Lepisosteus oculatus: one gene and its partner. The protein of the gene in region 2 interacts with the protein of the main gene of each other region in a pairwise test. Links are inferred from orthologs where the notes say so. Each region holds a gene or a part of one and is shown on either strand. Other genes may lie near its edges. The genes, in order: rab4a and gripap1.

Region 1 (16,555 bases), on a different chromosome or scaffold from region 2:
TGCTCTGGGTTCACACAAGTGCAGGCGAGACGGGGGTCACTCTCCTGGCCTCCTGCTCACACTCACCTTGTTTCCAGTAGGGTGTCTTTCTGTCACTAACAGCCACATTCCTGGGTGCTCTGGGCCTGGGCTCTGCGGGGCGACCTCAGCTGTCTCAAAGCGGCATCTCCGTACTGAATCCCTGATCCCATTCTCTCTGGATCCAATTCCCCTGGTACAGCAGCGTGTATAAAGAACAGTTAATGCCCTGAGGCATGTCATTCAATATTCCACATTTAACCCACAAGCCATCCAGACAGCACCCCTTTAAGGACCAGGGCTGGGTGCTCTGATCCCTAAATATGCTTGTGCTCAGATGCTGTTTGTGGACTTCAACTCTGCATTTAATACGCTGCAGCCCCATCTATTGATAAGTAAGTTGAAGCAAATGTCCGTTAACCATAACATCATAAGATGGTACCATTCATTTTTAACAAACCGCACACAGTATGTCAGGGTCAACAAAACTCTTTCCGAGTCACGATCTATTAGCACAGGTGCCCCTCAGGGCTGTGTGAGCTCTCCAGTTCTGTTCACACTTTATACAAGTGATTGAACAAGCAGTAGTCAAAGCAACTTCATTTTTAAATTCTCAGATGATACAGCTGTTCTTGGCTTAATGCATAGAGGAAGCAGCTCAGCTGTATACATGTCAGAAATTCAAAGGTTTGAGCAATGGTGTGACAACAAAGCCTAATTCTCAATGTTAAAAAACTAAAGAAATAGTTTTCGATCCCAGAGCAGTTGGTGATCACTCACAGGTAGTAATCCACAACGAATTTATCACTCAGGTCAATTGATATAAGTACTTAGGTGTACACATAGACAGTAACGTGTGCTGGTCTACTCATGTGGAGAGTGTTTGTTCCAAAGTTCAGCAGCGCTTATATTTCCTGCGAAGACTAAGAGTGTTTGGGGTTCGACAAGAAGTAATGCTACTCTTTTATCGTGCTGTAATCGAGAGCATTATCAGGTATGGTATTTCAGTGTGGTTTGGCAATCTATCAGTTCATTTTAAATCGCAAATGACCCGCCTCATCCAGACAGCTGTGAAGGTCATGGGAGTGAAACAGCACCCCTCCCTGCAGACAATCTTTGAAAAATCCATAATCAAACAGGCTGGGAAAATTATATCAGATCCTTCCCACATCCTCAACTCTGAATATCAACTTCTTCCTTCTGGCAAATGTTTTAGGGTTCCCAAATGTAAATCAATCAAATACAAACATTCTTGTGTTCCACTATCCATTAGAGCTGTCAACGCAAATGTCAAGGATAAGCACAATTTTGACCCTTACAACCCACTTGAGTGCAATATGTTTTGTGATGTGTTATAAATGTTACATGTTGTTATGTGTTATACTGTACATGTGCAATAGAATGATGTGCAATGTTTTTCTTCTCTCTTTTTTTTTGCATTCTATTTAAATGTACAGGAGTGCTGGGTGTCCATAAAAAATTTCCCTCAGGGGACAATAAAATCTTATCTTAACTGTACCCTGTAATATCAGATTGCTTTTCTCTGCACAGTGCTGGAGGCTGTTTTTATTTCTAAATACCAAGTGCAAATACTCACCTTCAGTACCCACTAAAATAAATATACAAGTACAAGGAAAGGGGTACTTTTTAAAATCTCAATGTGATCCATAAAGAACTGGCACTGGTTCAGATCAAACCCTCCGTTGTCTCGATCATCTCATCAATCGAAAGCATAAAGCACATCAAACCCTAATCTGTCCTGCCCACTTGTCAGATCTAGCCAGTGCTTGGTCATTCCTTTAGAAACCTAGATTCCAGACAACTGCACTCATCACACGCACCACAGAAAACCCAAAGCAACAGAACTAATACGATATTGATGAGATGCGGGCTCAACCAGCGCAGGGGAAAGGCGGAATTGGTTTAGGGAACACTGCATAAATAAGTGTTGCATAAGCAAATCTGTGATTGTGCAGCTTCACTGAGGCAGACAAAGAAAACAGATACCCGATTCAATCTTGTTCAGGATTTTCCTGGCACACTGCACAAAGGCCTCCTCCACATTCTCCCCTGTGAGTGCGCTCGTCTCCAGGAACATCAGCTCTGGAAGACAGGATGTGGGAATGCGTAAGACTGTTAACTTTCAGTGAATATCAGACGTTAAGGCTTAAGAGGCAGGTGATTTGTACAATAAACATACTACTGTTGCTGTTTAGGCCCAGTCTAAAGGAGGGCAGGGAAAGAGAGGAGCAAGGAAAAAGAAAACCACAACCAATATGAAAGTACCATGACCTCTAGTGGCACTCCATGGGAACTACACTCTTGACACACCACAACAACTCATTCCAGGAACGTTTTTTACTTGATCATGAAAGAACACCAAGCTGATTAAAAAATAGAAGTTACTAAAGCGACAAAAGGAAACCCAGACCATACTTTCATTAATTGACAGAATATATCTCCTGTGGGGACAGGTTTGCTACCCAACGCCCCAGGCTCTGAGACACAAGAGGCCTGTAGCCCACCAGCACTGGTGAAATAGAAGGGAAACTCTCTTGGCTGCATTTAGTTTTTAAGACCGTCAGATCTTTATGAAATGCAATATAAAAACTCCAGGGTAAATGAAGCACTGCAGGGCTTATTTATTTATAGTTGTTTTATATTGCACTTCATGGAGCCTCTATGTTTAATGCGAATATTTACAGAAATATCAAAGCCCCAAACCATCAATATATCACCAAAATATCAACCTACTGTTTAACAATACATCAGCCTGCACCTTGTAAAACCTGAAGTGGAGAAACCGCTTGGCAACAGGATTTTATAAACCTGGTTTAGAACAAGGCATGAAAAAGAGACTACACTTCCTTCGATGCTAAATAAATAAATACCACACCAACTAATGCCCCACTTTGGCTCCGTAAGAATGTTCCTTCACACGATTCAGGCTCAGAAATGGCAAGGGACACTTACCGTTTTCTTGAGCAAACCTTGAAGCCTCCAGGAATGTCACCTCCCTGTCTGCATCCAAATCCTTCTTATTGCCACACAGGATGATGACGATGTTCTGGCTGGCCAGCATCCTGGCGTCCGTCAGCCAGTTGGTGAGTGCGTTGTAGGTTTCTCGGCTGTGTCCAAACAGAACATTACAGATGGCTTTAAATCAAGGACGCGTTCCATCGCAAGACACACGCCTGCATTTGCCATGCGGTTTACAAACGCGAAATGCCCTTCTAAGCTTCACAGAAGCCCGGACATCACATTAACGTCGTAGGAGCACATTTATTTCTGTTCAGCAAATCTACTGGGCTTTTCTTGCGACGAGGTAAAGGAGTACAAAAGAATAAACTCCAGTCTTCACTTTGCAACAGCTCTCCTTCACATCAGCACTGCAGAGGAACAGCACTTCACTTTCCTATACAAAAAGTAAAAATAATGCTTAAGGCTTTAAAGCCAAAAGTGATGGTTTTTTTAGTATACTTTGGTTATTAAGTAACCTTCCACTGCGTTTCTTCTAGAAAACTTATAGTGATCTATTGGAAAGCTTTACCGGTTCCAGGGGGAAAAAAGACACTGTGTTTTAATTTGATTATTTTCATCAAGGCAGTGTGACTGAGCATCAAGCAGGTTCTACTGTACGAGGCTCTTACCTGGTGATGTCATAGACCAGCAGAGCCCCTGCAGCCCCTCTGTAGTAGCTCCTGGTGACTGACCTGCCAGGAGATGACACTGAAGAGTTAACCAGGAATCAGTGAATTCTCCACGTTTTCCCCTGCTCAGCCACATGGTCAGTGTACTATAGCAGTAATCAACAGCTGGATCTGGTTCAGGCTACTGTGCATACAGTGCAGGCTTTTACTGAAACCATGCACAGGTGATGGATATTTCAGGCTTGTTACCTTACAGTTAACCTGCTTAGACAGGCACATAGAGCAAAGACAGTATCAAGCTTGATACTGGTGCAAACAGTACAAGAACCAGCAGCTTGTGAAACTTCAAACAGGTCAGACAACTGCTCCCTGGGAGTCATATTTGTTTCTCTGGAATAAGCAGAACTGCTGAACCTCTAAAAAAAAAAAAATAACCGAGAAAGACTAGAAGCACATTTCATGCATCAAAGATCAACAGCCATCCAATGCAGAAGTTGTGACGTAAAGTTATGACAAGACAGATATGTCCCGTCACTTTTGTCACAGATCTGTGAAGAGATGCTCAGACACCAGCTGGGAGCCACAGTGGACTTAAACAGATCCCACTTTAGTGTTTATGCACTACGTAATTGCACAGTTCCTTACAAAATTAATTTAAGATGATCTGGTTTTGGTGTTCGAGTAACCATAGAGACACACTCATAATTCTGCACAAATGGAAGCACATTAACGTACTAAAGCTTCGATACCCCTGAGCTTCTGAAGCTGCACTCTTCAGTGAATCTGAAGGACAGCCTAAAACAACACTGCTCACAAAGCATGCAGGAGGGTGCAGCTGCAGTCATGCCACCAGCATTGGACATCCAGCACAGACCTGTACTGCATAGAACAAACTGTGCTATTCTGGGGTGGGAAGACAATGTAGACAGTGATGTACAGAGAAAAAGGAAGAAAAGCTCACTTATTACCTGCTACCCGACATCAGAGCACAAATTGCAATACTACTTCACATTACCTCTCGACACTGTAATGAAAACTACTTTATCCCTATTTAGACATAAAAACGTGAAGAAACCTCATTTAATGATCATAACATACATAGCTGCTTTTTGGCATGGATCAGAATAATAAACGCACTTGGTGATCACCAAATGCTCCAGGGCTAGACTTCAACCGGAGCACTAACACAGCAGTGACTTGTCAAGTCCGGGGAACATCGGCTGAAAATATTAGCACCATACCTGAATCGCTCTTGCCCTGCAGTGTCCCAGATCTGCAGCTTGACAAATTTATTCACCACGTTTATAATCTTCGAGCCAAACTCCACTCCAATGGTGTGATTCGAGTCCTCTTTGACTAGACAAAAAAAATAGTCACTTTCACAGACCTGGACACAGAGCTGCATTGAATACTTTGAGAAAACGTTTTGAAAAACCTAAGAAAGATTCAAAAGGAGAGGAGGTCCATCAGCCCAGTTTTGCTCATCTAGACTCATCACTTAATTAAGGATCCTCATTACGAATTTTCTTGTAAATGAGCTGTAACGTGAGCTACCACAGAGCTACCTGGCCACATTCTCCGAGCTAAAACAGCTGCAATCCTTCCAAAACAGCTAGATGGGCTGATGGATCAAGCATCAATAAGCTACAGTGGACCATCCCTGTCAAATTGCTTCTCTCAAACACCTACGCTTATTAAAAAACACAACATAAAAAGAACTGCATGCAAGCTCCACAGAAATTGGACAGCACTTACATTTTCTCTCGATGAACTGGTGGAGGAGACATGACTTGCCTGTACCTGCATTCCCAATCACCAGAAACTTGAACAGGAAGTCTGTGGAAACAAACCAGAAACAAACCAGGTTACAGTAGTCCTGACCGGATCATAGCCAAAGAACTCCTCTACATCTGCATCCATCTAATAATAATAATTCCTTATACTTATATAGCACTTTTCTGGACACTCCGCTCAAAGCACTTAACAGGTAAGGGGGACTCTCTTCCACCACCAGTGTGCAGCCCCACCTGGAGCCAGAGTGCTCCAGTACGCTCCCCAGTGGGGAGGAGAACAGAGTGATGAAGCCAGTTCAGAGATGGGGACTACTAGGAGGCCATGACTGGTAAAGCCAGAGGGAAATTTGGCCTGGATGCCAGGGTAACACCCCTACACTTTCAAGAAACACCCTGGAATATTTAATGACCACAGAGAGTCAGGACCTCGGTTTTACATCTCATCCAAAAGACAATTACTTTTTACAGTATAGTGTCCCCCTCGCTATACTGGGGCATTAAGACCCACACAGACCACAGAGTGAGCGCCCCCTGCTGGCCCCACTAACATCTCTTCCAGCAGCAACCTTAACTTTCCCAGGAGGTCTCCCATCCAGGTACTGACCAGGCTCACACCTGCTGAGCTCCAGCGGGCTGCCAGATGTGAGTTGCAGAGTGATATAGCTGTGGGCAATCTAAGGCAGAGCATCCCAACTCCAGTGTTAGGGATCCCAAATCCAGAGGTGTTCCAGTTCTCCTTAAGTGCTAAGCAGCTCCTCACCCGGGAGAAGTACTGAACTCTTCCCTTGGTTTAACCTGACCACATTATCCCCTCACTACAACCCACAGCTGTTGGCAATTTAAAAGAGACACAAAAAACCTCCTGGGTCCGGCACCCGCAGACTCTGGTGCGTCAAGGTGAACTGCGTCCTGTCAGGCACAACAGCAGTCCACAGAACGAAAAAAAACATCTCTTGCACCGCTTCCAGTCCTAAATCAGCCCCCCTCGCATGCTGACAGCAGACGCTAACACAGGCCCTCCTAATTGAATTAACGCAGCGATCTGTCAGCACAGCAGTCTGGGATGAATTACAGCGGACAAGTCTCGTCCGTTCCAGTCCAGGCCGCCGGCGCCTTATCTCTCCTCTCCCTGGCAGCTCCAGGTACTTCCCGCAACAACACCTTCCAGCTCTGAGCTCGGCATGGGCACCCCAGGGTGACACGCGGTTAATACGCGCTGTAAAAGACCATGTTGGGTCACTAAGTCAAATCGCCAGCTCCAATGCCTATATTTCTGCCTGCCCCCTTTCGCACGAAACGCACCTGGCTCCTGACAGCGCCTGCGACGGTATTTACCAGATAGTTTCATCTGTAAAAACACAATGAAGCGTAGATGGCTAACATGCATTTGAGGAACTGGGCAAAAAGGACTCGCATCTTCTTGTTACGGGAACTTGCCTGTTTTTTTTATAAAGAGCCAGGAGAAAGAAAGCTATTATTATGTGAGAAGATAGCGAAAGGGTTTTTCAAATCCGCATCTCCAAAACAGCCTTTGACAAGTGATCACACCGCTAGATATTAAGAGGGTTCCGCCTGCCTTTACAATACGCTTGTTTAAACACCATTTACGTTACAAAGAGTACCAGTGAGCTTACTTTTCTGTAAGCACGAATTCAACCCGGCGGCTCAGATCTGGTCATTTTACAATCCACACAGTACGCGTCTCCCCGCGGCCGGTGGAGAGAAACGGGAAGCAAACCGCTTCTCAGGCCCGCCTGGGCGCCGCTCCGACCGCGGCAGGTCCGTCCCGGAAAGACCCGGCTCTCCCCGGACACCTGCCGCTCTCAAGTTACCGGGCGAAGACATGTTTAATCACCGTGAAACCAGCCGCGGTGCCTACCGTAAGTCTCGGACATGGCTGCCTGGGACGCGGGCTCTTGTGTGTGTGTGTGTTTTTTGTTTCAATCGTGGGTCGGAAAGCAGAGCAGAGATGAAGAAAAGGAGAGAGAGATTCCCGCAGGGAGCTCTCCGTGAATCCCGGTCCTTTCCCTTTACTTCCTGTAGAGCCCTCTTCAAAATAAAAGCCCTCCCCCTGCCCAGTGAGCTGTGCGCCGCAGCCGTGAGCGCCGGCGTCTGCGAGCGGCCCCGAGTCCCGTCCGTGTGCGCGCACGGGCAAAACCTCTGTCCGGACCGGCGACCTCTGCGTCCGCCGAGCGTGAAAACCCATTCCTCAAAGCAATGCGTGTATTTACAGAGCTGAGAACGGTTTGGATGGTAGTACTTAAATGTCTAGTACTCAAATGGGTGGCACTGTACCTAAGGATCTGTGCCTGTGGCTGGATGTGGATTTGCCAGTTCAAATCCCGCGGCCGGTAGAGGAATCCTACTCTGTTGGGCCCCTGAGCAAGGCCCTTAACCCCAGCTGCTCCAGGGGTGCCGACCCTGTGCTCTGACCCCAAGCTTCTCTCCCTGTCTGTGTGTCTATGCCTCATGGAGAGAAAGCTGAGGTATGTGAAAAGATGAATTTCTAATGCAAGAAATTGTATATGGCTAATAAAGTGATCTTATCCTATCATGATTTTGCCTGATTCTACAGGACTGGCGGAGGGATGTTTCAGGGGAAGGTCACGACAAGGGTTTATTTATTCCTTAGGGTGCCCCTGTCAGGACAGTCAACCACAACTCCATGTTCATTGAAACTGCAGTTGCAGACTTTGATCTAACAGGGGCTTCTAAATATAGTAATAATTCCTTACACATATATAGCGCTTTTCTGGACACTCCACTCAAAGTGCTTTACAGGTAATGGGGACTCCCCTCCAGCACCACCAGTCTGTAGCCCCAGCTGGGTGATGAGACGGCAGCCATAGTGCACCAGTCCGCTCCCCACACACCAGCTGAGAGCAGAGTGATGAAGCCAGTTCAGAGATGGGGATAAAGACCAGGGAGAAATTTGGCCCAGATGCCAGGTAACACCCCTACTCTTTTCAAGAAATGCCCTGGGATTTTTTTAATGACCATAGAGAATCAGGACCTCGATTTTATGTCTCATCCAAAGCATGGCACCTTTTTACAGTATGGTGTCCCTGTCACTATACTGGGGTATTAGGACCCCCACAGACCGCAGGGTGAGCACCCCCTGCTGGCCCAACTAACACCTGTTCCAGCAGCAACCTTAGTTTTTCCCAGGAGTCTCCCATCCAGGTACTGACCAGGCTCACACCTGCTGGGCTTCAGTGAATTGTCATGAGCTGAGCTGCAGGGTGATATGGCTGCTGGCATAAATAAATATGTTTGTTTTGAGGACAAAGAGATTCCGTGGATCTCATCTATCAGTTGTTCCTGATGTATGCCAAGGAAATCTGTTTCAACAGCCTGAGTGGGTTATTAGTTCCATACCTCCACAAAGACATGGCTCCTCTTTTCAGTCTGAAATATCCTCTTCTTACTTTACTTTAAACATGTTTTCTCTGGCCCTGTTTCAGTGTTGGCAGTGAACCTCCCAAGATTTAAATACTTGTACCCAACCCACTCACAGATTTCTCTCTTCAGGCCTTCCTCCCTTCGGCAAATCCAAACTTTACTTTTGCCTAGAAGGGGCTTTAATTTATTAACGAATGTGCTAGAATTGTGCTAGGGCTTTAGTAAACATTTAGAAAAGCTTTTGGAAATAATTGCTAATTAAATATCTTCAGTGATTTAAAAGTACCGTAACTTGTACCTAAAGCGTATATAAAATCATCACAAATGTTCGGTCTGCCAATGGTGCATCTTGTGACTTTTAGAGAGGCAAACCTGTTTTTAATAGTTTTTATTCTATAGATGAATTGTTGGAAAACGTAGAGCCGTCAGTTTGATCTCACCTTTCCAATGGGATCGTGATTGAATACTCTCATGTCCAGGAAAGTCCTAACCCTCTTTCGCCTGTGTGGTACTAAACACGGCCACCAGGAGGCAGTATTACGTCACGGTGCTTTCAGTGTGGCTTGGGAAGCACCCCCAGTTTCAGACGTCTGGAACAAGAAAGTTCTGGAAACAGCAAGGTATTTATTTCCGTGCTACAAAACAAAACATTTCACGAGTGAATAAATGAACAAATATGCAAAGAAACACACCAGTAACAACAGCACAAATAAATACAAAACAAATAAAAAGTTCAAATAAAACATATATACTTTACTTGGAATTTACCAAGACAAAACTGTTTGTAGGAAGGATAAATAAATGAAAGTAAATAAACACCAGAATGTGCCCTGTGATCTGGTCAATGTTAGAAGGGACTACACTCCCTCTGTAAAAGTTGCTGGCAGTATTCCAAGGGTGATTTCATTGTTTGTATTAGCAGCACTCAGAAATATAGAAAACAGATTGTGCAAATTGCCCAGGATCAGCGTTTAGCAGTGCCAGTGTTTCACTGTAGATTAGAGGTTTTCTAGACCTTAAGGTGAAAGGTCTTAGGAACTCATGTCATCCCATTTTGAAATGAATCACCCGGTTTGAGCACAATGCAGCTCAAGGAAACCACTGAAGGGAGTTGTTCAAGCTGGGCAGCAAGGACAAATGCAGTCGAAAAGACCACCAGAATTATGTCAGATTCAGTCAGTTAAGTTTGTCAATGGTTTCAATGTCCATTCCTTTGTTGAAAATCCTTAGTTCTCAAACAGTATCTTCCACAAAATGTTCTGCGCATATAAAGCAGGACATTTTTTTCAGAGATTGCAACTGTAGGGCTGTGGAGCAAAAGTGTTTAGAGAGTGGGTCTCATTTCGTGCGGTTTAGCTGTATTTAAGCACAAAAACACACATTGCAAAATGAGCAAACATTAATGAACTACAGCCTTTGTTAACCCCTTTGATTAAGGCTTTCTTTCTAGTGCCAACCATCATACATAAGATTTCAGAAAAAAAAGAGGCAAAGGTCAAGCACATCTTTTAAATGACATCAGATGTTGCACGTACTGATTGTTTGAGAAGGTCTGGCTCACAGATTACTTCTACTGGTGATTTGTTCAGTCTGATTTGAAAAATCAGCCCTAACTTGTTGTAATTGGGCTGGAGATGGCTGTAAAATGCATACATTTTTGCTACAGCTTAGAAGCCCTACAGCTTTGTATGTGTGCGTCTTTCCTGAACCTGCTGTAAGAAGACAGAAAGAAGGAATTAAGACAATGTATGCCTGTGGGATGCATTTCAAACATACCAGAACCCAAATCTATCAAGTCGTTTGGCTTGGATGGAAAGATATTGGACTTAACTGAGAAATAGGCACAATGTGTTGCAGTGTGTCGTCTATGCCCAACATTGCTAATACTTGGCTTTTTAAGGCTGTTTCATTTCCATCTGTTCTTGAACAAATAGTCAATCAGGTGTGGTATATGAGCCTTTAAATTGCAGATCATATACAGCACATACAGCTGTTTTGGAGGTGGGAGTGGTGTAAATCAGATTCCTTGTCATGTATGGGGGACTGATCATTGATGTTATATTAAAGAGGGGGTCAGTTCATTTCCCGAACGCTGCATGACTGTTACAAGCAAAGCTGGCATTAATTGAACCTCATGATTCAATCTCCTTTTCCTTCACTATTTAAACCCTCCGTTCACTCCTAGTCCTCGCTCGATATTAGGAATCTATCCGCCTCCTGAGCTTGTGGCATCCTCAAACCTCAAACCTCAAACCTCAAACCTCAAACCTCACGCCTCACGCCTCACGCCTCACGCCTCAAACCACTGACCACTGACCACTGACCACTGACCACTGACATGAAGACCCTTCTAGCTGTGGATCCTTCGCCTACCCTCTCATCTCGCCTCTCAGACTCGAAAGCCATCGGGCTCTCTCCGAGACCTGCACGGGGTTCATAACTCGATCATAATGATACAGCGATATGACCCAAGCCCAGGTCTGCACCGAAAACCGTGAGAGAGCAGTACCACAGCAATGGGCTGTTTCCTCGTCATCCTGGAGAAGCACGTGACAAGTTCAGTGCGTTTCGATCGTTCAGGAACATCAAAACCGAAATAAGACTGCCGAGCTGTGTTCACAGTGCAGCACGCATCAAGCAAAATCCACACCTGACACAGATATTGAGAATTTGTCCATGGTACAGCAACCCCAGAAAAAAGAGACTTGATTTTCAAAAAGTGTCAATAATGAATAAAACCAGTTATGATCGTCTCTCCTGTCCTATACAGTATGTATCTTTATTTGTACATTTTCTAAAGGATATAATGCATGCTTTTTGGAACCTTTTCGTAAGTCTGCCCTGGTGGAATTCACACCTCTGGACTTTAGTTTTTAACTTGAATGTCTGTACTAACGTCTTACCGACTTTGAAAAATCAGGTCAGAGATACATATTGTATTGCCTAGGCTATGCAATTCTTGCAGCTTTTTTTAGTTTGGGGGCACTGCCATCTCCAAATCCTCTCTGTCCCCAGTTCATTTGGAGGGCAGAGATAAGAGCAGAATTAGGAAACTTCACTCCAGAGGCACAATAGAGAGTGGACTCCTCCGATGACATAACCTCTGTGTTGACAAGTTATCTCGGACATTGCCAGATAATGTGTCGTAGATATATGTGGCTCCTGTCTTGACAGAATGTCTTCCTCCCATTACAAACCACCAATCTTTTGTCAAGGTTTCTAATGTTTTATGTTAATATTGACAACACTTTGGCTCTTAAACACTATGCCAGTCACTCTGTTCAGACTCTCTTAACTGTGTGTTATATACATTTCGGAAAGTAATTTTCTGGGCTTTAGTTAGGTTTTCCAATCTGTGATTTTTGTCAGTTATTATCGTGACCATGAGGGCAGTCAGTTTGCGATGTGTTTTTTCTGTTTCGTTTTTAATTAAAATAATTTTAAACAATTATTTTAATACATTCGTTACTTATTCACGATAAAAGCCTTAGTTGGTTTATATGATTTTTTAAAAATCTCTAGAAATTGTTCCTTGCAATTCATTCTGTTAAAAATGCTTTTTTCCACTATAAATCCCTCGTTAACAGATATTTTTTGGGAAAAAAACAGATAGTTCTTCGTTCTGGTTCCTGGAAATCTGCACACCTCCCTCACACTGGGAATACATACAGTACATGCCACACAATAGGAATCAGGAAAGGGAAGTGAACTGTCCTTGAGATCTAAAAATGTCATGAAGCTCACGATATGAAGCCAGGATGTTGTTCTGAAATGCTGAAGGTTTTCTTTGTACAAATGACTGATTAAAAGGGACTACATCTGCGCTCTCGGTCAAACCCAGCAGTCAGGGAGGCACGGTGACAGAAACAACACTGGTGTGCAAAAATGGGTGTAGCAAGTATTTTTCATTTTCTGTTTTTAGATGTTATTTAAACAATAGTCTGTTAAACACAATACATGTGCTGAACCTCACTGAGAGACAGTTTTATCCTTTTTTCAAACTATGTTAACTATATTGCCATGGAAAACAGACATTCCTACCAAAGAAAAATGCTCATTCAATCCACAATCCACATGCATTTACAGTAAATACTTGTATGCGTATTATATACAGCCCGTCCAATGTCAATAAGTACTACTTGGAAGAGCGATAAGTATGAGACAGCTTTCCTTTCCTTATTTAAATCAAGTACACCGAAAACTTTTCTTTACAACCCACAGACAATAATAAGAAACAAAACGTACTGTAGGAGTAGGCAAAACATTTCATTCTTGCCATGTGTTAGGCTGGTGTTAAATGTTTGTTGATCGAAGATATGAGTATTCATTTCGTGATTTCCAAATCAAGCACTTTTTTTTTCCCTCACAAAAGCCCACCAGACCCTCAGCTTATAAAACCCTGAGCCCATGGTACCCAGACTTCTGCATTGTTATTCTGCCCCAGCTTGAAAAACACACAACTTGGGAGGCGGTGGAGGGGGTTGTAGAGTAGTGGGGTGAGTGGACAGCCAGGAGGGGGGTGCGTCACATCTTTGTGATCACCCCCAGCGTTCTCTAAACACAAAGAAAGCTGGGATCTCTCTGCGTGTCTGCTCTGGGTCACTGCAAGCATTCACTGCCTTGGTGGGAAACACAGCGATCGTTAATCCGATCTCCTTGCTGTCTGACACCAAAAGCTTGACTGTAAAGACCAAAAAAAAACGTGGAGGCGCAGTCTCAACTTCTGCAGCTTCCCTTCCTCCGTGAGGGACAATGCAGGGCATCGTGAAGGATTAACATAATACATTTTGCTTTACTGCCTTAATCACGGAGATTCCAACTCTTAGGAGAAGTCCATCAACAGTCCAGTGCGACTCCATCTGCAACGAAAGAGGCTGTTGGCTTGTGAGTTAATTATTTGTGGATCGCTGGGCCCTGTTTTTTTTTGCGACATGGGCGATGTGGGCGAATGTTTGATCAATGCTGTGAAGAGCTCTGACATGATGATGAATCGCTCCTTGTTGGCAATGCATATCAGCAAGTGCAGGTCGTCTTTGAAGCCGGGAGCTGATGTTTGGTAACAGTGTCTCTGCCTTGCCTGCCCTAGAATACTAATGAGAGGGCTGCAGCTGTCAAGCTCCGAGATGCACAAATCAATTGTTTCATATTGTGGCCCCATTGAACCCCAGTGGGACTCTTTCATGGGAGTGATGTTAACATTGAAAAGACGCAATTCTTTCAGGCCTGTGGAAGGCACTTTGTCACCTCTTTATCTGAATTAATTCAGATTTTTATTACGTAAATGATGTATATATGAAATCTGATTTGTTCCATGTTATTTGAATAGATTATACAGTATGATAGGCCTTCTAAAAGCTGAAAGTTGAGAAATGGCCTCTTTGAGCGTGTCTCATTGACTGGAAAAGAGAGAATGTTCAGCTCAGCCATGAAGAATTAAATACGGACCTAGAGCAAGCGGAAGAAAAAGAGGTGCTCAGCATTGAGCATGACTGCTCTAAAATAAGTGTCTTGATGTTGTTTCCCTTGGACTCTGCTTGTACCACTGTGCCTGAAAATCCAAAAGAAATGTATCCATAAAAAGTGATACATTTTTGATACAAACCCAATGAGAAATGCATGATGAATAAGGACCCACATAAATCAAGTAATAACTTACCATTTTCAATATTCTATTGATTACTTCCACCATAGAGAACACACCATCAAAAGACTTGAATTCTATTTAACATGTGTGAGCTACTCTTTGACATTCCTTATGAAAAACAGAAATATAAAATAAGAAAAAAACCCTTCCAAATATCATTAGGTTGAGCTTTAACTGACGTTAAAGCTTGGTAGAAGAGATCTGCATACACTACAATTTGCAGAGGAGACACCTAATAATAATAATAATAATAATAATAATAATAATAATAATAATAGTAGTAGTAGTAATCAACAATAATAATAGTCAACAACAATACTACTACTACTACTACTACTACTACTAATAATAATAATAATAATAATATCGGAAATAGGCCCTGGTTAAAGGATGTTCTGCTTCTTTTGCGTTAGGTTACAAAAAAACATTTTACTCTGCTGGGAGTGTAAGCTTGGATCTTGAAATCCAGAGGCTGTAGTGTATCCTGAATCTGACAGGAATTCCCAAGGGAATTTCACAGCTGGCCAAATGCCTGCCAAGGCCAAGCAGAGTTCAAAGTTGGACAGTGTTTCCAATCACAGCAGAGACACCAGTAACTTGCTTGGAGTTCTGGGGTTAACAGAGGCAGAAGCAGCAGATGCTCTTCCAGGGCAGGTATCTGAGGAAAGAGTCTCTCTGGGCCGGGGCACTGAACTGGACTATGAATTGGGAGTCCGAAGGAGGGAGGAGCGATATGCACTAATTCTCAGTTTTGTAAATCAAACATTGTACTCACAGTACTCACTTGCTGATGCTCTATCATGGAAACAGTGCAGTGCAAAGGGTAGCAAAGGAAGGCACTGTTGTGTAAGCAACACGCAAATCTGATTCGGAGTAGGGCCGGCCTTCTATATTAGAATAAAAAAAATATTATTTTTTAGGACATAGTGTCTGTGGAAGGGAGAGGGTGTGCGCTATAGACTTTCCCTGAGAGACATGCTCTGGTGCACATTCCACAGTGAAAATTGCATTCCCAGCATCTCATTATCCCACTACTCCTCTCCTCCTGGTAACGCAGGGAGCAGGGAGCTGAACTAATTGGAATAAAAGCAGCCGGGCGAACTGACTCAGCTCTGCTCGGAGGCTCATTGTTCGCAGGAAAAGAATTAATGACCAGTCCTCCCTCTGGGCCCCTCCCTCGCCACACACACACACAGAGATAGAGGAAACCTCACTGGGCCAGGCTGAGAGGTGCTGCAAACTGTAACTAAACCCGCTGAAAACCAGACAGGAGGACTCTGACACTGGGGCCCTTTGTGAAGACAAGGGGGGAACAGTGGCCCATGTGCTTTCCGAAAGGCAGCGTTCAGCAGAAATTGACTCCAGCTCTTGTACTACTGATTTAAATGACATTTAGTCACATATGATACCATATGATGCAGCTTAATTGTCTGATTTCTCAGTATATTATGCATCTGAAAAGGAGTTACAGTACCCTGGGATGTTTTCCTTTTATTTCAATTCAATTTATTTTTATATAGCGCCTTTCATAACATGGTTGCCACAAGGCACTTAACACAGCAAGTGACCATACATGTTGTCAATACAGAAAAGAAAAGACCAGAAGACAACAGAGGAGAGGAACCAAAAACTCCTTAGTAAGGAGAAAAACAACCTCTCTAGGGGTCCAAGGTCAACTGGCTGCCCAACCCCTCTGGGCACGCTAGCGTTATGCAATTGAAAACAGGAATAAATGAGTAAGGGACTTTAACCTCATCTGCCAAACAATCATCAATATTTTGAATTAGAATGAACAAAAAAAGGGCTATAATGAGAGCAGACTATTCAAACAATCCATTTGGTAATTAGTAGCTAATACCCCCATCCTCATGTTGCACCCATCACTTGCTGGCATAGGCTCTGGCTCTGGGAGTTAGAAAATTGCTGGATGGATAAGAACATAAGAAAAGTTATAAATGAGAAGAGGCCAGCCAGCCAGTCTGTTTGGTAATTACTAGCTAATTGATTAAAGGATCTCTTCCAGCTGACTCTTGAAAGACACCAAGTCA
Region 2 (15,996 bases):
GACCAAGTAACCAGTTCCTCCTGTTAACCTCTGAAAGATGGCCCTTCCTGCAGCACACTGCCCCTGTCACTACCCTGGGTCACTGGTCAGGAAATTCCAGTCCAAAGGAGCCACCTACTGGCCCACCAACACCTAGACTACAAAACGCTACAGCTACAGCCTTGGATTTGAATTGATCTCAACCCCGCAAATAGAGTTTGTGCTTGATGACAGCACATTTATGTTTATGTGATGAAAATAAGGCTAAGATTGTTCTGAAAAACCTCCTTCGTTAACATCCATGTCGTCTCCAGTCTTTCAGTTTCTCCCCTCCAGGACCTGTGTTTGCTGGCCGTATTTATCAGTTCTCATTAAAAAATGAAAAACGAAAGCATCACGGTGATCGTGTGTACCCACTCGCTGGCCAGAGCTACTTGAGCATGAGCGTGCCTGAGCGTCTCCAGCCCCGAGAGGGCTTTTACACAACAGCCCACACACTGCCCAGGCAGCGGGGGCTGACAGGAAGTCACAAAGGAAGAACGTTAATGTTGCAAACACCAGCGTGTATATGTCTTAATCAGACAGACGCAAAGCAAATCATGTTTTCTCTTGTCGCCTTCTCGACAGGGAGATTAAAAACCTCTTCACAAGCTGCATGGTGAGCAAAGCAGTCAGCACAAACATACACGTAAATGCCCTTTTCAGGAAAACAAGATATCCGTGACTGAACCTCTCATGCTTCCTACTCTTTAATGCCGGCTGTGTTTATTTGTTCTAGTTTCAGCCTCTGGTTTCCTTTCATGAAAAAAGCAGCGCTGACAGAGGAACAGAAGGTACTACAATACACACAGATGTATTTAAAACTCCCTGTGGGCAAAAGCGGGTTTACTTAGGTTTAACAAGTGGAATATCAAAGACATGAAAGTAATTAAACCCAAAGGTGAAACCAAAATTTCAGCATAAAAGAAGACTAACACTGTATGTATGCTGGCGATGACATGAAAGAAATAAACAGCTTAAATAATGAATTAACAGCTAGAGGGCATGTCCACTTGGACTGTTTAGCACAAAAGGCATCAGCATGACGGTAAGTTTAACGCTTACATATAAGCGACTATGACTGTGCTTTGTTTGTCTTTTCATTTATATTTGTAGTTCAATATTGTGCTATATGTCTGCTTCTCCAAGTTTTCTAGCTTTATCTAAAGCAATTTCCGCCAGGTCTTGCTGTGTGGCAATAAAAAATTCTGTCCTACTGGGTATGAAAGAGCAGCTCAGCTTCAGCTACTGCAGGTGTGGGCTGCAGGAGAGTTCAGCACCTTGGAGAGCTCCTGCATGAGGGTGCTGTTCTGCAGCCTGAAGTCGTCCTCCTGGCTGTGCAGTTTGCCTTGGAGCATCTCATTCTCACTGAGGAGGGCGTCCACTTCCTGCCCACAGACACAGGACACAGGAGTCAGATTCCCAGCCCCCGACAACTTGAGCTCCTACAGAGCCTGGCTCGTCAGCTTGTTTTGCCAATACACACAAAGCCCCTGTGTTGTCAACGCCTGAATTAAAAAGAATACACGAGTCTGCTATGGAAGTCTTGTTTCTACTCTTGTTAAAATGGTTCTCCAACCTGCACAATCAGACCCAAAATGTCTTGAGCAGGTTTCATCTATCTAGATTGTGTAAACATCAATTACTTTGCACAATTGTTTTGCACTCCTTGTTTTGGAAAATGCACACTGTAAAGGTCAAATGTTAGCAATTGTTAAAATTAGAATTACTAGGACTTAAGCTAAACATTGATAAACTGTTCATTAATTAACCTATTAAGTTCTTAATTTAACTAGTGTGTGCAGCTGTCAAAATAAAGATACCTTCTTTGCATCCACTGGAGAATAAAAAGGCTCAAAGTCTTACTAAGTGGTTTATTCCGCTTAACAGCTAATTTTTTTCCCCGATTTTTTCCTATTTAAACCAGCCCAAGCCGCGTGTGGAAAGACTCAGAAATCGTCATCCTGCAACTCACGAACAGACTCACCTGAGCTTTCTTACTCTTGCCAAGAGCCTGCAAAACAAAATTAACCTATGAGATTCAAACCTCGATACAGACAAATCTCTATACATATGCTCACATGTACAGGTGCACAAGACCTTTCTCATTCTGCACATATGAACAATTAGAAACGCTAGGTGACCAGTAAGCCCATCTGGCCCATTTGCTAGTTAGCATCTAACTGATCCAAGAATTTGCTTCAACCATATGGTCGGGTAGCCTGTTCCACAATCCCACAACCCTTTGTGTAAAAAGGAGCCTCCTGCTCTCAGTTTTAATTGCACTTCCATCTTGAGGATGAGAGCAAGAGACTACTAAGCCTGTCTATTCCACCCTGTCCTCCGATACTATTTCGTTGGGTGACAATGTGCACTGGTATCAATGGCAACAGTAGTAGTGGTGGGTTTAAGCAGCGGTGGCTGGGACAGGAGAACAACAGGAGCAGATATAGTACCAGCATTGGGAAGAAGAGAGAGCTGGTGAACAGACTCCACCCTCTCACTGACACGACTCTGGAAAAGCAGTGAACACTCTGTCCTACCTTCTGAGCTTTGAGGAGATCCTTCTCGAGGGTGGAGGTCTTCTGGCGCAGGGCATTGAGCTCTGCAACACCAGAGGAACAAGCGCTTCAGGACCCGTTACTTCACACCACAGGAGACTCGGCGAAACACATGCTGAGCACTCTAGACATGCACACAAAAGCCCCCAAGGGCCGTTCAGTGAGTCTGCAGGTTTTCTAGATCTCCGCCAAGCACCAGCATCTGAAGAGCTGGGAGAAGCTGGTAAACTGGTCCAATTAAGTCAGTAAGGAGCTAACCGAGCTCATTAAGAGCTGAGCTGGACTGAAAACCTGCAGACACACCATCCCTCTGGGACCAGGACTGACCACCTCAGTCCTTGGCTAGAGATGACCTTGAAGGGACACCTGTCTGTCAAACACCTAAGGCACCGACAGCGCTGGTTAAACTCTGGGCTACATTATTATCCAGGATTGGCGCACACAGCCCCAGCACCAAACCAAACCAGCAGACTCACAGCGTCCACTTTCAAACTCGGAAGCTACTAGAAGGAAACCACTGACCAATTCTGGGGTTTAATAATACATAAACAGCTGTGATGTGGCTTCTGGTCTTTTGCCGCACCCTGCAGCAGTCAGGCTCGTTTAAAAGAGCCATGCTGCAGAAGCAGCCTCAAAACTGACAGGATGATGACTTGCTTATCTACAGAACAGGTCCCAACCAGCCACTTACAATTACGCAGAGGAATTCAGAAAATCTCAGGCTCAACTAAGCTTTTGATGCCTCTGTATGGCCACAGAGCCCAGCTGCGCGTATTGTCTCTTACCAGCTGTGTTCTTGCGCAGGTCATCGGAGAGCTGGTAGTTCTGTGTCCTCAGCTCCAGGAGCTGAGCCTGGGTCAGGAGAGAGGAGAGGACGTGGGGGATCCAGTCAGGCACAGCAACCGGAGCAGAGACGGGCAGGAGAGGGGGAGGGTCAGGGGCAGAGAGGAGAGGGGGAGGGTCAGGGGCAGAGAGGAGAGGGAGAGAGGAGAGGGGGAGAGGAGCACATGAGAGCATTAATCAAGGGCTACTAGTCATTTAAACCATTTTGATCATTGGTCACAGGTTCAGGTTCTACAAAACAACTTTTGTGTACAGAGATGCAGCAGAAGACAGTTCAGCTCGCGCAGAGCAACTCCATGCAAAGTGGTTTCACGAGGGCTGGGCTGCACTCCTGGACCGGGTGGAAAGGGAACTTTAGTATAACACAACTGGCTCGTCTTCGAGAGGTGGAGGCAAACCACTGGAGCCCCAGGGGAGAACATGCAAACTCCACACAGAAGGAACCATCAGCTAAAATTAAACTTAAAATCTAAGAGTTATGACACAGCAGCGCTAATGTGTGTGCCACTGTACCGATAAAAACAGTTTTAAAAGTATTATCAATATCAATGTGAACATTTATACCGTAATGAAGAGGGGAAGAACTTTTGTTGTATTTTTCTTTTGTTACCATGCTATTGCAATCGGGTAAAAAAAATCCCCTTTGAATTTCAGATCATATAGGATAGAACCATAAATAAGACACAAAATAAAAAAGAAATGGAAGCTCAAACAACGAGGAAGAAGAGATGTGTTACCTCCTCTCTCTTACTAAGGGAATCTGTTTCCTTCACTTTTTGCAGGACAGTGACGGTCAAATCTCTAAGAGCCTTCAAGCAGTGGTTCAATTTTAAGTGTTAAGTCACCTCAGTCAACATCAATTTACATCATTCCCATAAAACAGTTGAATTTATAGTGAACATACTTAACTGTTTAATGCAAATTTGCAATGCGTTATTATTTAGAGAGACTGTAAATTATTTTTTTAATAACTTCAGGTAAATGGCTTTCCCAAGTCCGTTTGTCTTCACACTGCAATTTGCCTCAGAGTTACAGCTCAGACAGGACTGATTTCTGCAATGTATGACAATCCCCGCTTGCAAGAATCTCTCATGTGACAACCATGTGACTGGCCAACTCCTTTCACTTTCCCTGGAAAAAATACCAGACATTCCAATGATCCCATTCACTGTCCACCACTTCATAACTATGGAATTCTGATTATGTCTGCAAGGAGGTTTCAAATCCTTCAGAAACCTACAGGCTGATATCTGAATACGGTCTCACCGAGCTTCTTTATGAGCAGTCCTGGGGATTTATCTACAGTAGCACGGTTTGGCATATACTAATATCATCTTTAACTCGCTTAGCATGTAGATGTGAACTCTTGCAGGTGGTTCCCAGCACTGCTGATCCTTGTGTAGTTTTCAGCCCCGTTTCTCTGGCTTATGTGCATTCGAAGTGTTTCTTTGCTGGACCAAAGGGACTTTCCTGTCCCTTGGAGTTGAAATGTTTGTGGATGCACTCCAATCCTAGAAAGGTATTGCTTGCTGTGGACTCATAGATTCCAGCATCTGTGGACACTGAAGCTCAGCAGGTGAGAGCCTGGCCAGTACCTGGAGGGGAGACCTCCTAGGAAAGCTAAGGCTGCTGCTGGAAGAGGTGTTAGTGGGGCCAGTAGGGGGCGCTCACCCTGCAGTCTGTGTGGGTGCTATTGCCCCAGTATAGTGACAGGAACACTATACTGTAAAAAAAGATCCGTCCTTCGGATGAGCCATATAAACTGACACACTGTGGTCATAAAAAACTCCAGGGCGTTTCTCAAAAAGAGTAGGGGTGCTGCCAAATTCCCCTCTGGCCTTTACCAGTCATGGCCTCCTAACAACCCCCCATCTCTGAACTGGCTTCATCACTCTGCTCTCCTCCCCACTGCGAGCTGGTGTGTGGGGAGAGTACTGGAGCATCATCCAGGTGGGGGTGGAGGGGATCCCCATTACCTGTAAAGCGCCGTCAGTGGAGTGTCCAGAAAAACGCTATGTGTCAGGATTATTATTTATTATTATCAGCTGCAGTGAAGTAAGAGTAGCCATTGCTCCCAAAGGCAGGCCTCGTTAGCAGGCGAGCACAGACGAGCAAAGTTTAAGGTTTGAGGTTTAGCGGATTAAGGCTTCGTTGCCCTGTGTGACACACCGCTCGACACCAAGAGCCAGCAGGAAGGACTCCGGTTTAGTGCTACAATGTTAATGGACTACCTTCCAGTGTGGAATTAACCCTCTGAAGCAGACAGGAGCTGGCACTGCTCCACGCTCGATATTTATAGACCCCTTGTCTGAGAATATATTGGGGGTGGTTCCTCATAAGATCGGACTCAATCCCTTCCACCTAGTCCACAGCCACACAACCCACCTACTCCAAGAGCCACTGAGCAAGGATCTAGCATCCACCACATCCAGGGCTGGACAGGGCTGGCCATCGAGAACAGCGGCACATAGGCGCTATGATTTTATTGACTCACCCAGGAAAGTGCGGATCACTGGCTTGGCAGAGTTACAAACTGTCACAGCTGACTGGGGGCTTACGTGCTCACAGAAGGACCCCCGGCGTTTTTTCGCCGGCTCTAACTGGCACAGCCGCACTCCGCCAAAACCGCAACGTCATGTCACAACACAGCAAAATAAACACAGCGGCTGAAGAGCAAGGAGTCGAGCTCTGCATCCGAACGGCGACCTGATACCCACCGCCGGGGTCTGACTGCGAGCCCCGGGTCTCTCCATCACTCAGGACCTCAATACAGGATGCGGTCGACTACAGGAAAAACAGTCCCCCCGTCCCGATTTAGGGATTGTGTTAGAAACCGGCCAGCAAAACTCACAATCTGGCAACTTATTAAGGAGAATACGACTAGGACGGTGCTGCTCCACTAAAAAAAAAACAATGTCAGCTAGTTTGCAAAAAGACTAGCTGCTCAGACGTCCCCAATTCAGAATTGTGAACCAGCCTGTCAATGGGCTGATTAATATGCTTATTTGTTTTCTGCATTACCTATTCCCCACGCATCTCTGTCTCTCTGCCGGCTCTTCCCCGCCGAGTGGACTGGCTCCCATCGCCATCACACTCGGTCACAATCGCCCACTCGACGCCGAGGCTGCAACCTTGGCCTACGAAAACATCCGCACTGTTCTCGACCCTGCTTTCCGAACGAAAGCTTCATGACCCGAATGCCCAGCGAGCCCTACTTCTTATTACCAACCCGGACCGCGATGTGACCCAATTCGACTTGATACTTTGTCGTATTAGAAGCATTTTACCTGCATTCGATGGAACTCCTCTTCTGACAGTGCCTGCGCCATCTTTACTACTGGAAGGGGGGAGGGGGGGGGGGGGTCGGCCGATACCAATGACACAATACTTTCTCCGGGAAGGGGGTGGGAGAGGAGGGAGGGAGGCGTGTGCGAGCGTGTGAAAAATAAAGACGCGATTGGGATCTTTATCGCTGCCTGCTGAAAACTAAACGGCAAATAACCGATGGTAAGCCCAAGTCAAATACACTGACTTTAAAGATCCGAGAAGGATGACGGCTAATCCACCCTGCCGATACAATAGTTCAGTCCATGGTGAGCCTTACATTAGCTGCACTAACGACACCTGTCCGACAGGGGGAGCAGCAGCAGTTATTCATTTTCAGCAGAGAACGACGTGTCCCACCGACTGGTGTACTCACAGCACTGATTAAAAACACCGAATTCTTAAGATTGCTATTTTAAATTAATAATAACGCTGCAGTGTTGGGCAACTTCGATATCGTCTGTAAACTAGCCAAGCGTGTGTAACTCTGCTCTCCTTTGTTACCTTTAATATTCCTAAAATTGAAATATTTAAAATACGTCAGAACATAATCAAGGTTAAAAACGAGAGGAGCCCATTCATCCCAACTAGCCTGCCTAGTAGTTTGTGGCTAATTGAGCCGGGGATGTTATCCAGTCCTTTCTTGGAAGAATCCGACGTGTCGGTTTCAACAATATGACTGGGGGGCTTGTTCCACGCCCCCGCCACCCTTAGTGTAAAAGAAAAATGCCTCCTGTTCTCATTTGTAAATGCAAAGCCGCGTAGCTTCCGCTTGTTTCCTCTGGGTCTTGTGTCCGTTTTGATAACAGAAACGAAAAGCATCAGCTCTGTGGGAGAAGGAGTAGCGGTGCTACGGTCACGGGTCCGAGGCTGTGACGTGTCACTTGGATTGAAGGTGGACGCTCAGAAGTCAAAAAGGGTTTAGGACGGCGCCAAAAACACCAGCCACAGCGTTAAAATCTCGTTTGTATAACGAGTGTTCCTCTCATTCATAGACACTTAACCTTCCCTCACGTATACAACTCAGGTGTGTCGTCATCATAAAATCAAATTATCCGAATCAATAATCGAATTGTTAGTGGGGCACACGGGGGCAGCGGGTGGACGTGTTTCATCTGTTTAAAAAGGCACTATATGGCAGTTTCGTATAATCGCCCATCCGAACCGTCTCCTCGCCCGACTTCAAAAGTTCGTTTGTGAAGCACGACGAGTTGGCGATGTACTTCGACAGAAAACGCACCCAGCAGTGGGTGGCAGCTGACCCACCAATTTGGAAATGAGAAGCTTGCCGCAAGCCGCGGCTTCACTGGTGAGGAGACTGGCACACCGTCTTACAGCGGCCGTGGGCGACGGCGACAACACTCGGCGCGTTTCCCGTGGCGGGATCTGTCACATTGATCTGTCCTTAAAAACCGCCACCGCAAGCCCGACCGCACCGCCGCCGTGAAGCCGAGACAGGATCACTGCACACCGGCAACGTTAAGGTTCTGTCCGCAGCAAAATCACAAAGCCGATCGCAAAAATACCACACAAACACACACACTTCGAAATACTTTCACTTTTAATTTAAAAAGTGTGGGGGGGGGAGGGGGCAAAATTCACACCTTGTCGTTTACGTTTATGCAGAGCAGATCGCCGGCCGACCCTGGAGAGTGTCGCCCCTTGTTAGCACGCGGAAGAAGGAAACAAATTGCCCCTCGGGGCGCTGAGAGTCACGCATCACCATGCGGCTGCACACAGCGCGGAGCAGCTGGGAAGAAAGATGAACTCTGGAGCAAGCCTGAGAGAGAACAGGGCAGGCGAGACTGCAAACGCGTAGAGACCACATCTGGACTGACGGCGTCAGCTGGACTGGACACCAGCCCGTGGCTGTCCCTCGGGGTCAGTGACCACTGAGGGTCAAGCGCTGCGGACTGGCCCTGCGGGAGCGCCGGGATTTAACAACAGTGCTTCGGGATGGATCTGGCTCGGACTGGACTGGTCTGCCCCGCCCGTTCTCGCTCCTCCTGCAGGTCAGGGCAAATACGGCTTGGCTCTGCCGCGACCCGGTGGAGCGAGCGTCGCCGACGCCCGTGCGGGACAGCCGGCCGGACCGCGACACCGGCAGGCGGGCACCGTGGCGCCGGGACCGCCGCGGACTGGCCGGCTCCTGCCCAGCCCCTGCCCAGCCAGCGTGATGTCAGGGAGAGCGATGCTCCAGTTGTGCCGCGCCGTCAGGAGCGCGTCGGGAGCGGTGTTACTGCAGCAGGTCCCGGCGCCGGGAACAGGCTGATCCCAGTGTCTGAGGAGTTTCATCCCAGCGGAGCTCCAGGTCACCTGCGCTCACCGATCTGCTTCAGTGGTTTAGACTTCCAGTCTCCAGGTTTCTGCACTCAAGTTCTGAGTTTCAGGCATATAGTTTCATAGACAACGTCTGCACACAGGTCTATCAGCAGCCCTGCTCACCTCTATTTCCGATTAAACAGCTATCATTAGGTGCTCAATTTATGCTGAGTGGACACAGCTGAGAATAGCTTGTGTAACACTCTCCCAGTAAGCAATTGTTTTCCTTCTTACAGGAGTCTAACTGGTTACACTTCAGGCCAAATACCTGAGTGAGGAGAGTCTGACGTTCAGAAACTGGGGACAAGGTTGATACCAAAGACAAACCCCATTCAACACTTGAAGAAGTGAAAGCCAATTTCAAAATCGTCCCCAAACAGAAAACTGAAATCGAATTCGCTTGTCATACAGAACTCCACTAGGATAAAAACCAGTGGGACAGTGGTTCTCCAGCAACACGGTTTGGAGTCACTGCATTAAAACACGAAGAATACTATTTCAGAATGCTTCTCCGCTCCCTGCCTGACCCTTCCGACTTCTGTAAAGCAAACTGTTCGTAAAGCTAAATTCACACTGCAGCGGGAAAGCAAATGTAACCATAACAGTACATAATCATAGAGCACATTAGTTCAATATCAACCTGTATCCTTCCTTTCTCTGGAACCTATTCAAACCTTCATACAGCAGAGTCAGCAAATGAGAAGTTAACAGCTGGGGATCTGAACAGAACCAACATAGGTCTATTTTGAATATATGTATATACAACTTTTAAAACTATTCAGTGTGTCCGAGGTTCATACAAGGAATTAAGACGTGCAGGGAGTGTTTGAAGTTACAGATTAGTTCAATACTGAAGCTGGAAGTTCTGCCTCTTGCATAAATTAGCACTGATTCCAGTGCAAATCTGAAGTCATGGTAACACTGCACTCGCGACAGCGTGGAACTGACCTTTTCAAAGGAATTCCCCTTCACTTTAGTCAGATCTGCTGTCACATTTCAGATCCTGTTTCCTACCACAGAGCCCTCCAGATTCTTTTATATAAACACATAGAACACCGTAACATATTGCATAGAAGGCAAATTTAGAAAGAGATGCAACTGTGTGTAACTGCAAGACTAGGCAACCCTCACACTTTTCAGAGTATTGCTCAAAATCCTAATCCCACCGTTCATGGTAAGCACAGTCTCAAACGCTCCGGGAGAGACTCCGGCCAGCAGCGGCCGTCACAATACACTGGCAATGTCCTGGAAACCCCAGCTGCAGTGTAGTAAACTGCAGCCCAGTCTAAGGACAAGGGCAGCGGACACACTGACCCGTGAGGCCTGTCTGCACCGAGGGCAGGGTTCGAGAAGCCCGTGCTATAAAACACCAGGCTGAGAAAGGGCACAGGGACTGCAGGGAGACGGAGAAGACAGGAATGCAGCCAGAGCAGACAGCTGGGGAACTGAGGATTTATTTCAGCATCGAGGTTGCACACGCACGCTTTGAATTTTTGATCTAGAAAACGTCAGCCTTTCTAGAAAAAGGCTAGAAAACCCGATCACAGGACGATCATTCAAAATAACGCTCGGTCTCGCTCGGGGATAGGTTTCTGTTGTTGTCACAGAAAACATGCTCGGGACAGCCCCAGCCCCGACGAGCAGCTGACGGGAGACCAGGCCCCCAGCGGGCGCTGTGTGGGGTTCGAGTCAGTACCAGCTCCCAGGGCAACGGTCTATAACTTCAAACATTCGCTCCACACATCTCTAAAGAAACCTGACTAGCTGAACAACCTGAACAAGCTTCCTTCAGAGTGTAGAGTTTCACAGAGCAATCAGGCATCTCTCCCCAATTTTATGACCAAGATGCCAACGTCCCTGGCTCTTTTAAAATTAAAACTCAAGTTTCTTCTGCATACGGTGCCTGATAAGGTCTTCATGTTCAAAGACTCCTGATTTCCAGAGCAAGCTCTTCAGCTCCCGGTGTAAACCTTGCCCAAAGTCTGCACACCTGTCCAGCCCAGAGACATCCTGTAACAGACCTTCAAAGACCACACTCCCAGACCCCTCCAGATCCTCGCTGGCTGATATTTCTGAACGACACCTTTCCCTAGATCTGCTTTCCCTCCCCATCCCCCCCCCCAAGAGAAAAGAAATGCGTCGCCTAGCAGTACCTAGACGATTAAAAAAAAAAAAGAACCTGTCTGAGAGGAAAGGTGTCCATTACAATCCAAGCCGCCAGGAGACCAGCGAGTTAGTCTGCGGGTGTGGTCCTCACGTTAGCGCACGCGGCCCCGGGCGCCCCTGTCCCGCACCAGGAAGGGCGGGGGCTCCTACAGGGGGGGGAGGAAGCCGTTGTCAGTGGTGTCCTGGCGGTCCGAGCCCCCCTTGCCCCCCCGCGAGCCCTTGCTGGGGTGGGGCGTGGTGGAGTACTTCGGGGGACAGCGGATGAAGAGGCGGTCCTCCTCCTTCTTGATCCAGCGCAGCAGCTTGGTGATGGCGTTGATGGCCGAGGCCTTGGTCACCAGGGGGCTGAAGCAGGTGTACAGCTCGAACTTACTGGTCACCTGAAGGGAGGGAGGGAGGGAGAGGAAGAGCTCAGCTGATGGGGGAGAGTGCAGGTGTCCTCCGAGGAAAAGCTTCCCCACTCCGCTCCTGTGGAAACTCGAACAGTCCAGGTGTGGGATCCAGCTGGAACATAAACCTTCTGGGACACCTTTACCCTGCATTTTAAACTCAAGCATTCTGTGTCCTGAACTGATCTGGGAATTATTTATTGTGCACCACTAATCATCTCAATTGATTTTAGTGGACCTTTGAACGACACAAACCTGAGATGCTGAGGGCCTGTGCCAAGTTGTGTAATGGGCGTGCGATTACAACCAGGGAGATTCCTGGATCAGACTCCAGCTCTGCCACCAACCCAGTGATCGGCAACAGTGACTGTTTCTGCCACGGTTCACCCCCTATTCTCTATAAGAATCTGGATGAAAATGTCTAGAAAGCAACAAAATATTAGCACTTCAATGGGCATGATCCCACGCGCTGGCTGGAGTTAGAGCAAATTGCTGAGAGTGATTGCAAGAAAATGTGTTAATGCACACCTTCTAGTCCAGGATTTTACTGGGCAAGTCTACCTTCCAGCACAGCGCAACACTCTGATTGAACTACTTATTGGGTAAACTGGGCAGTTAAACAGATCTTCTCAGCTCTGCAGGCGCTGCGGGCTTAAAGAGACCTGGAAAACCTGCAGGAACGCAGCCTTTTCCAGACTAGATTGGAGATCCCTGCCCTATCCCATTCGGTCAAAGTGAATAAAAGCCTCTCTTAATGAGTTATTATTACGAAGAGGTGTGGTTGGGGGGGTGCTACATTGGTGTTCAGGCTGCAGGCAGAGGATCAGGCAATTCAACACTGAAAAAGGACAAAGAAACAATGTCTGGAGCCTTCTTCGTGTCTGAATTTGAACATTGTTTTTTTCCTTCTGCTTTGCAGTGTGGAAGCAACCTCTGCTCACTCTCAATCACCTGTTGAATGGTTATCAAGACTGCGGTCGTGTTCCTGCCACCAGCTCCTCACCCTGCCCTGCCCTAGCCCCGCCCCGCCCCCACCCTGCCCAGGCTTGGCCCACCCCACCTTGTGTCTCTCTTCCAGCACACCCAGGACACAGCCCTGTTCCTGCTCCAGCCCCCTCCCTGCTCACACACACCCACCCTCTCCCAGCCCCGCCCCAACCCTGCCATAGCTCCGCCCCTGTTCACCCCCCACCCTCTCCCAGCCCCGTCCCTGTTCACCCCCCCACCCTCTCCCAGCCCTGTCCCTGTTCACCCCCCACCCTCTCCCAGTCTCCCAGCCCCGTCCCTGTTCACCCCCCACCCTCTCCCAGTCTCCCAGCCCCGTCCCTGTTCACCCCCCCACCCTCTCCCAGCCCCGCCCCTACCCTGTCATAGCCCCGCCCCTGCTCACACCCCCACCCTCTCCCAGCCCCGCCCCTACCCTGTCATAGCCCCGCCCCTGTTCACACCCCACCCTCTCCCAGCACCGCCCCTACCCTGTCATAGCCCCGCCCCTGTTCACAACCCACCCTCTCCCGGCCCCGCCCCTACCCTGTCATAGCCCCGCCCCTGCTCACACCCCCACCCTCCCCCAGCCCCGCCCCTACCCTGTCATAGCCCCGCCCCTGTTCACACCCCCACCCTCTCCCAGGCCCATCCCTGTTCACCCCCCACCCTCTCCCTGCCCTGTCCCTACCCTTCCATAGCCCCGCCCCTGTTCACCCCCCCACCCTCTCCCAGCCCCGCCCCTACCCTGTCATAGCCCTGCCCTTGTCCACCCCCCCACCCTCTCCCAGCCCTGTCCCTACCCCCCAGCCCCGCCCCTGTCCACCCCCCCCCTCCCCCAGCCCCGCCCCTACCCCCCAGCCCCGTACCCAGGCCAGGAGCGTCTCCCTCTCGGCCACGTGGTAGATGAGCTTGAGCGGCCGGGTGCAGCTGTGCATGCGGCTGTGCAGGTAGCGGTACAGGTCGAGCAGCCGGCGCCTCTCCTCCTCCGTGCTGTAGGGAGCCTCCAGCTCCGGGCTGAAAGCAACGACACCCACACACAGCGGTCAGCCTCCCCAGGCGCTACAGCCACTCACAGGCTCCCGTCTTCCTGCAGTGCCTGTGCGCCTGGCATTCCGAAACATTCGCGGTTCAGAAAGTTTAGGAAAACACGTTCTAACGAGACGTTATCAGCTCTTCAGAACCCCGGAAGGACCTTTCAATGTTATCTCAAACATGCCTGAGCAGAAAGCAAACACTGGAGGCAGACCAGAGCATTACGTTCGGCTCCAGTGTACTTAGGAAACCAGGTGCTGGAGCAAGCTTCCTCACCGCATGGTGGGAAGTGGATCTCTGCGGTCCTCCGAGATGCAGCTGGCCGAGTCAATCAGCTCTTTGCTACCAAATGAGCCAAATGGTCACCTACAGCCTGTCACCCTCCTTCCAGCTCTTAGCAGAACACATTTCAGATTTCCTGCTGGCACAGCTCAGGCAGGGCGTTTCCTCACTTCGTGCACAGAGGACTGTCATCCAGAAGCCACTCCTCTGAATTCTCTCTTCCTAATTCTACCCATGGCTGCCAGAGAGGACCAATGCCGATTACTGGTTTCTGCTGGGGATTTCCCTTAGTAAAGGGAACTAATCAACAGCAATTTTTTTCACAGATATATGAATTTAGATTCTGGATCACAAGGTAGTTTTGATTTAAGTGCAAAACCGCTTTACAAGTACCAGGGTATTAAACAGAGGATTGGAGAGGGCTGCATGTCTCTCTTTGAATTCCTAAATAAAAAAGTTTTGGCTGCACAAAGAAGAGTTTCTGTGCAATTCATCAGGGAATCAAGAGTCGGTAAAACAAGATCATTGAGGTTAATGGAATAAAGTTACGAAAGTTTCATTCAGCAACCACGTTACTAAAGACCTTTCTTATACCTCAGACAATCTAGTATTATATAATGCAATAAACACAAATATAAATGAAAGTCATGCTGAACACATTTAACATAACTGGGAAAAAATCAGAGCAGCTTTTGCAGATATGCAAATGGTGTTATAGTACAGGCAAAATGGAAAGAACAGAGTTCCAATTACTGCAGGCTAACCAAATACCCCTTTCATACTTGGAACTCAGCCAAAGTCATGTTCCTGTGTTTCTGCAGTGCATTTCTATCAGAGCACATGACATGATAGGTGGTGGGTCGCAGAGCAAGCTGCTGGCGATGACTTTGGCTGATGTGCAACGTCCGTGTGCACAGAGGACTGTCACCCAGAGGCCACGACAGCCCTTCAAAACAGCCCAAAGAACCACGAACAACAGGGAAGCAAATGACCTGGGTAACCTTGGGGCGTTGAGGACAATCTGGACGCAAGATGAAAACATAACGGCAAAGCAACCAAGTCCCCTTCTACAGCTCTCGGCTCGAAAACGAGCAAGCAGGTCCAGAGCCGTCAAACGCCATGCAACTCCCAGCTCAAAGAGAGAGGCAACAGGCTGCAGTCCCAAAACACTGGGGCTCATCCCTGCCTTTTTGCCATTTGATGTGAAAAGAAGTCTGGGGCAAATCAAAGAACAAGATAAGAACAGGGCAGAGAGATGCAGATTGTCTTAGGTTCTACATTTCTCACAAGCCGTACAATGTCAAAGAAGTCTCCCCTACTGATCTGCTGCATGATCTGAATACACTTCCTCAAGAAAGCAGGTGGCAGAGAGCCTGGAAGCATGGACAGAGGTCTCCAACAGACTGTTGAAAAACCTTTGATTGTTAATCAAGGGAGAAAACACTGACAGGGTGAAGTGAACTCCACATGAAAGGAAAAATCGAAATCGTTAGTGGTTTGACAGCAGATGCCTTCAACTGCACTTGTAGAGATAAACACTCGGTTGAGTGCGACACACCACGGGCCAGTTGTTACTGAATTCAAAGCAGAAAAACAGAGCTTATGCAATCCGCCACAACCAAGCTATAAACACGACATGCTTTACTTTCAGCAGTGCTGAAGCAGAGGAAACAAAACCACGCTCCACTTCCGAGCCTCTTCGTTAAACCTGATGCAAACCTCAGACACAGCGTTGCACCAACGTCTGCTCCAGACTTCGTGTTGCACTTGTGCTTCATATCACAGCTACTCACTTCAAGTGGCAAGACTCTGCATGGGATGTTTTTGTGAACTATAAACTCTGCGTGCGAAACAGCAAATCTGGCACACGGCACCAATTTACTTTCAGATGCTGAGCACTGAACTGTAGGGCTCCAGATCTGCTGCGGGGAGAAAATAGTTACCAGCCGCCAGATAACTGCAGCTACTTCAGACATCCGCGTTCTGCCTGGCAGCCACAGGGCCGCGAACCCGCACGCAGACAAGAGCGCCTTCGCCCTTGAGACAGGACGCGCCGGCACCCACCTGGTGAA

Evidence for each region.
Region 1: the proteins of gripap1 (region 2) and rab4a interact in binary tests that used the Homo sapiens proteins (3 or more experiments, as listed by UniProt). The link is inferred for Lepisosteus oculatus from reciprocal best matches to the Homo sapiens genes GRIPAP1 and RAB4A.

Annotation. Positions count from the first base shown.
Region 1 is NC_090712.1:2,309,347-2,325,901, forward strand, and holds the start of rab4a (ras-related protein Rab-4A), read right to left. Parts: upstream 7,542-16,555; 5' UTR 7,357-7,541; coding exon 7,341-7,356; intron 5,505-7,340; coding exon 5,424-5,504; intron 5,025-5,423; coding exon 4,910-5,024; intron 3,732-4,909; coding exon 3,669-3,731; intron 3,147-3,668; coding exon 2,992-3,146; intron 2,122-2,991; coding exon 2,026-2,121; intron 212-2,025; coding exon 96-211; 3' UTR 67-95; intron 1-66. UniProt on the Homo sapiens protein: The small GTPases Rab are key regulators of intracellular membrane trafficking, from the formation of transport vesicles to their fusion with membranes.
Region 2 is NC_090697.1:77,020,030-77,036,025, forward strand, and holds the start of gripap1 (GRIP1-associated protein 1), read right to left. Parts: upstream 6,769-15,996; 5' UTR 6,752-6,768; coding exon 6,710-6,751; intron 3,432-6,709; coding exon 3,365-3,431; intron 2,624-3,364; coding exon 2,562-2,623; intron 2,033-2,561; coding exon 2,006-2,032; intron 1,407-2,005; coding exon 1,299-1,406; intron 1-1,298. Other genes in the region: mon1ba (vacuolar fusion protein MON1 homolog B), read right to left, coding at 11,381-11,614, 13,477-13,624, 15,989-15,996. UniProt on the Homo sapiens protein: Regulates the endosomal recycling back to the neuronal plasma membrane, possibly by connecting early and late recycling endosomal domains and promoting segregation of recycling endosomes from early endosomal membranes.